Regions from separate parts of the Mus musculus genome. Here region 1 is reported to be linked to region 2. The links are microRNA targets in miRTarBase. Many come from high-throughput screens and were not tested one by one. Region 2 holds a microRNA gene; the other region holds the end of a gene's coding sequence.
The links. The annotated mature microRNA mmu-miR-669a-5p reads AGUUGUGUGUGCAUGUUCAUGUCU and lies in region 2 at 1,594-1,617, opposite strand. An mRNA with a match to its seed (bases 2 to 7 or 8) in the 3' UTR can be bound and repressed. Matches are read on the target gene's strand: a 7mer-m8 pairs with bases 2 to 8, a 7mer-A1 pairs with bases 2 to 7 and ends in A, and an 8mer does both.

Region 1 (3,436 bases), not on the chromosome of region 2:
TGTAGGCCCCAAGGATGGAAGTTGGGTTGTTGGGTTTGGTGGCACGAACCTTCCCTGGCTGAGCCATCGCACATGCCCTGAGTGCTAATTTCTGTAATTAACTGATGGTAAGACAGGGCAACTGCAGTGGAGCCCAAAGACCTGTGCACTCACTAAAGACTAATGTGGATGACGCTACTTATGTCATTTCAGTCGGGGAAACAACAAAACCAAACCACAAACAATAACCAGTTTATGGACTTGAGTAATATAATAACTCTTTATGGTACTTTGAAATATTTTTGTGTCTATTACTTAGTGAAATCTTTCCAACAAGTTTATGAGGTAAGTTGGAATACTATATCGTATCATGTTAATTTGGTAAGTTAGGAAATGGATGCATAGAATAATTAAGTAAGCTTGTGGGACTGCACAAGGAAAAAGCCTACTTATCAAGAGACTGAAATAATATCTAATTAGCTAAAAATACAAAATAAAAAAACACCTGTCTTTATAAAGCGGGACCTGGGCGGGCCTTTGTTGTGTGATAGTTTATCACTGCTAGTTAGTTTGGTTTGAGGTCATTCAAGATGCTTACCAACTGACTAAGGTAAAAGGGCTTACAATATATTTGAAAATTAAGAGTTTAAAAGTATTTCTGGGTCATGCTTCTAAACCAAGGCTGGAAAAATACAAGTATCCTTACCCTTGTCTAATTCCGAACCTGCCTAGGAAGTGTCAGAGTGGCGCTAATCTCACTCTCAAGGCATGACCTGAAATTGGAAATGGGTACCATCTCTCCCCTCAGTCACTGGAAAGCTTCAAGGAAAGGATTTTCTTCACATTAAAGACTGAAAACACCTGGTGCCTGTAAACATAAGGAAATGATTTGACAGAGAAGAGCATTTTGGGTTGACCTAGGGATGTTCTTCCTACCCTTTCAATCATTTTGGATTTCTTAATAACCCAAACAGGAGTGCTTTAGCATTTTAAGCTTGTTTTCCCTGTACTTTCCCTGTACTTGCTATGTATGTTCAACAGTTTTGTACCTCTGAGCAAGAAAAGTACAAAGATTTATCTGTCATATAAAGTATCACTTTGATGATGTACACTAACTAGATCTAGATGTATTACAAACAGGAAAAGTGGTACAGGGGTCAACAGCAAACAGACAAACATCAATTTGACTTTTATATGTTAAAAGTGATCAAAAATGATGGGCTGCCTATGCATTCTCATACAGGTAAACCACAAATCCTGGTAAAACAGAAGAAGTACAAATGAGGAAAAATATTTCAGGAAAGAAAACGGACGCTCTGTGGTTCAGAACCTTACTGAAATGTGTGCATACAAAATGGTACAAAGATTAACAGCGTGAATGACACATCAAAGAATACTTACTATTTTACGAAGCCTCTAGTATAGTAAAATACTTACCAAACTGAATGTTCATTTGTTTATGAAATTTCTCATCAATTTGATACCAAAAGAGTTTTTAAAAAGCAATTATGAGGAGTATGATGGCCAGATAAATGTGTTTTATGTATTTAGGTGATCAGAAAATTGAATATCTATTCTATCCCATAGAATCACAAATAGGGGTGCCTTTGGAAATGCATTACATTTTGTTACAATTTTCAAGTTAAGTTGGTGTGAATTTCATGGTCACTTGTTTGTAGACATTTCATCATCCACATTTAGTGGTAGAGATCATAGCATTGCTTGCTGGCACCTTTGTCAGAGTACTGACAATATTCTATCCAACCCTTTTAAATTAAAATAAATACTTCCAGATGAGAGAGAAATTATCCATTAGATGAAATGGTGTGGAGGACAAAACTGAGTATCTCATGAAAATGAACTGCTATTAAGTCAAAATGGATTTCATGAGGAACAAAAACTTGATCATTTCATTACTTTCTATAACTTAAAAAGTTTCTAAGATCAACATTTCTAACTAAGGATGGTAGTGAGGAAAACACTTCTTTTTCTTAAGATTGTGAAAAATAAAATGTCCTGTATACTTGCATCAGGAAACAGATTTCTACAGAGCTTTCTAGAAACAACAGCAAATGAACTGAGGTTAAAAGGCTTGTTTAAAACTTGCCTGGCACGCAAGGAAGGGAAAGATAGAGGTGGAGACTATTAGTTTTATTTTCTTCCTTCTTAAAATATTAATCTTAGAAAATTCTACTAGAAATTTCTCAGAATTATAGGACAAGCCTGAATTATGAGGAGAATGAAGCCTACCTTCTGAGCAATTCATATTTTAAACATTTAGATATTTGTATGAGCTTCCATCGTTTTTGATGTTTTAACAGTTGTCTCAATCGATCCTGATCCCTACTTTCTTCAACATGTGGAATGAAACACGGCTTTCCTAAGTAACTGTACCAATGGATCCTAAAGTCCCAAATGTAGGCCCTTGAAACAAAATGCACATTGCATGCCAGAGTGGCTACAGTTGGTTATGTACAAAAAGTCTTAGTGAGGTGAAAATGGAACATACCAATAAAACAAACTTAAATAGCTCTCCTATAAGCTATAATTGGAACAAAGTTGTAAAATCCCTAGGAACCTATCCCAGCTATCATGGTGACTCTTGTATAAAGCTATATTCAGTAGTAGTAAAGCATTAGGCTACTGAGACAACAGGCTAGGAACTAGAAAACGAGCATTTCTCTTCATTCTAATGATGAGTATGACCAGCTCAACTGAAACTTCAGGGATACTGTGTCAATCAATGAAATGGCCAGTGAGGATGCAAGAACAGAACAGAGTCAAATGCGAAACAAACTGTGGGGTAGTAGGCTTCTTTAATGCACTCAAAGCTGCCTCAAAGCCAAGGGGTTTATAAAAGGTAGCAGCTCACAGGGAACTGACAGCTAACTTCGTGCCTTAGTCCCTGCGCAGGGCTCATGATGTGTGTGAAGGCTCATTACTTGTCAGAAGCCTCGGGTCTCATTAAGCAGAGCACAGATCAACAGCAGTCCAGATGTCAGTGGCCTCGGGGATCACTTTACTGGTAGTAGGCATTACATCTTGCTCTGTGCACGCCTTTAAGTCTGTGTCTATCCTTCCTACTGGCTCGCTGGATTTTCTCCTCAGGGAGGACCAACAGGCACACCTGAGAAGTGCCCTAAAGCTTTCCGAAACACTGGAGGAGAAGAGCTTTTTGCAAGGGTGGAAAAACTGATAGAACACAAGCATGAAGAGAATGCCAGTGCAGTACCCAATAAGCAGCTGCAAGATCAACAGAGGCGCACACACATACATGTATATGTCAGTTTTAAAAAAATACCACAGGAGCAGGAGGACGGAGTTCTCGATGAATCTCGTCATGTAGTAAATGAGCAGGCGGTACCAGTTCTGGGACTTGCTGATGAGCTCCGGATTGTCGATTTTCAGCTGAACAGCTGACCAGCAGAACATGTTGATGCCGGCATAGAGTAAAGTG
Region 2 (3,436 bases):
GTCCATCACATAAATCCAGTACGATTTCTAACTCATCATGAAGTTAAACATGAATTTGAACTCCAGATCCTCCTGACTCTGGCAAATGGTTTGCATCTGATTAATGAGATGTTTCCTGTCCCATGAATATGCACTCTATAAAACTCTAAGCACATATAAATCAAATGGATGATTGCCATGTGTATTTGTGTACACATGTATGTGTCCATATATGTGTATATATATGCATATACATATACCCACATGTACAAGCACACTTACCTATAGACATATACACGTACACAGAGGCAAAAACATAAATTACAGCCTTATCTATAACTCATCATGAAGTTAAACATTAATTTGAACTTCATATCCTCCTGACTCTGGCAAGAGTATTCACCTCCTAACTGAGGCATAGCTCTGGACCAGTACTGCATAAGCTCTAAATCTCTGAGTCACATAACATTCAAAAAAATATATGAGTGACATTCGTGTATGTGCATGAGTATATATGCATATTCATGTATAAAAGTGAATATGCACACAACTATACTCACATGCACATATTTGGAGGACATCACACGAATCGCATGCTGATCTCTAACTCAATGTGAGTTAAACATGAATTTGAACTCGTCATCCTCCTGACTCTGGCAAGAGTGCTCACCTCCTAACTGAGACATAGCTCTGGCCATTCCTATGAATGTGTGTGCATGCGTGTATATGCATATTCATATACAGAAGTGAATATGCACACAACTATACACACTTGCACATTTTTGGTGGGCATAAGATGAATCCCATGCTAATCATGAACTCATCATGAAATTCAGCACGAATTTGAACTCCTGATCCAACTGACACTGTCAAGGGATTTCACCTGCTGAGTGAGACCTCTCCCCATTCAGTACTGAGGAATCTTAAAACTCTAAATCACATATCATTCAAATGGATCGATGAGTTGCACTGATGTTTGTGTGTGTGTTTCTGTTTGTGTCTGTGTACATGTATATATTTGTGTAGATAGGTACATCCATATACTCAAATCCACACACAATAGAAACAGATACAGATAGAGATACATAGGGGGCATCACATGAATCCCAGGCATATCTCTAAGTCATCATGAAGTAAAGCATGAATTAGAACTCCTGATCCACAATCTTTCACACCTGGTGAGTAAAACCATTCACTGTCCCACTACTGCATAATCTTGAAAACTTTAAGTCACACATCATTCAAACGTATAAATGAATGCAATTTTTTCCTGTGTGTGTGTGTGCTTGCATATACACGTGTGTTTATGTTATATATAGCATGTCAACAGAGATAATGCACATACAAGTAAACACACATGCACATTCATGGGAGGCATCACATGAATACCAGGATGATCTCTAACTGAATTAAGCATGAATTTGCAATCTTTATCCTCCTGACTTTGTCAATCTTTTACACCTGGTGAGTGAGGACATTCAATGTCCCCTATTGCATAATCGCTAAAACTCTACATCACTTATCATTCAAAGGGATTGGCGAATGCCATTCCTGTATCTGTGTATGTGTGCTTGCGTTTATACGTGTGTGTGTATGTTATGTATATTCAAATATAGACATGAACATGCACACACAACTATACACACATGCACATACATGGAGGAATCACAGGCTGATCTCTCATGAGGATAAGTATGAATTTGAACTCCTGATACTCTTAACTCTAGCAAGCATTTTCACTCTAAGTCACTTATCACTCAAATGGATTGATGAGTGCCATTCCCATGTGTCTGTGTGCTCATATGTGTCTTATGTGTGCGTGTATGTATTTGTATATCATATTCACACATGTACATGTACACACACATCAACACATATACACATACACAGGGGCAATCACATGAATGCCAGGATGACCTCTAACTCATCATGCCTTTACTATGAACTTGCACTCCTGATCTTCCCGACTCTACCAAGGGTTTTCCCGTGGTTTGTGAGACCTCACCCTGGCCCAGTCATACATAACCTCCAAAGCAGTAGGTCACATATCATTCAAATGGATCCGTGAAGGCCATTTCCGCATGTCTGTGTGCATGTGTGTGTAGGTGTGTGTATGTATATGCATAAAATATACACGCATATACATGCAGGCACTTACGCACACGGGCACATACATAGGGGCCATCACATTATTCCAGGATGATCTCTAACTGCTCATGAAGTTAAGCATGAAATTGAACTCCTGATCCTCCTGACACTGCCAATTATTTACACCTGGTGAGTGAGACCTTCACTGTCCCTCTACTTTATAATCAGCAAAATTCTAAGACATATATCATTCAAATGGATCAATGAGTGTCATTCTTATGTGTGTGAGTGTGCACGCCTGTGTGTGTGAATACATTTGTATGTGTGTGTATTTATATGTATGATCATATACACACATGTACGTGCACACACAATTATATGCACTTGTGCATACCTAGGATCCATCACACAAATACAGGGTGATCTCTAACTCATTATGAAGTTAAGCATGAATTTGAACTCCTGAGACTCCTAACTCTGGCAAGTGGTTTTCATCTGATAAGTGAGATTATTCCCTATACCATGAATATACACTCAATGAAATTATAAGCACGTATAAATCAAATGGATGACTGCCATGTGTGTATGTGTGCACATGTATGTGTCCCTAGTTGTGTGGGTGTGTATATATATATATATATATATATATATATATATATATATATATGCATGCTCATATACGCGCATGTACAGGCACACTTCCTTTTACACATAAACACATACACAGGGAAAAATCACATGAATTCTGGACTGATCTCTAACTCACCATAAAGATGAACATGAATTTGAACTACTCATCCTCATGATGCTGGCAAGAGTATTCACCTCCTAACTGAGTCAAAGATCTGGCCATTAGTGTGAGTATGTTTGCATGTGAGTATATGCATATTCATGTAGAGAAGTGAATATGTACACAACTATACACACATGCACATTCTTCGTGGGCATCACATGAATCGCATGCTGAACACTAACACATCAAGAAGTTAAACATGAATTTGAACTCCTCATCCTCCTAGCTCTGGCAAGCATACTCACCGCCTAACTGAGACATAGCTCTGGCCATTCCTATGAATGTGTTTGCATGCGTGTATATGCATATTCATATAGAGAAGTGAATATGCACACAACTATACACACATGCACATTTTTGGTGGGCATAAGATGAATCCCATGCTGATCATGAACTCATCATGAAATTCAGCACGAATTTGAACTCCTTATCCACCTGACTCTGTCAAGGGACTTCACCTGCTGAGTGAGACCTCTCCCCATTCAGTACTGAGGAATCTTAAAACTCTAAGTCACACGTCATTCAAATGGATCGATGAGTTGCACTGATGTTTGTGTGTGTGTTTCTGTTTGTGTC

Region 1: miRTarBase lists Xk as a target of mmu-miR-669a-5p. Seed matches in the 3' UTR shown: 8mer at 518-525.

What each region holds. Positions count from the first base shown.
Region 1 is chrX:9,309,257-9,312,692 of GRCm38, reverse strand. Xk (X-linked Kx blood group) reads right to left here. Exons shown (of 3, transcript NM_023500.2): 3 at 1-3,436. The coding sequence ends at 2,944. Among named protein-coding and RNA genes, the nearest start is that of Gm25481, 6.8 kb to the left of the region's middle.
Region 2 is chr2:10,501,987-10,505,422 of GRCm38, reverse strand. It overlaps Mir669a-12 (microRNA 669a-12), which reads right to left and starts at 1,632; the gene lies at 1,546-1,632. All of the region lies in intron 10 of Sfmbt2 (Scm-like with four mbt domains 2), which reads right to left. Mir467a-10 (microRNA 467a-10) reads right to left here and starts at 2,150; the gene lies at 2,068-2,150. It overlaps Mir466b-3 (microRNA 466b-3), which reads right to left and starts at 1,858; the gene lies at 1,778-1,858.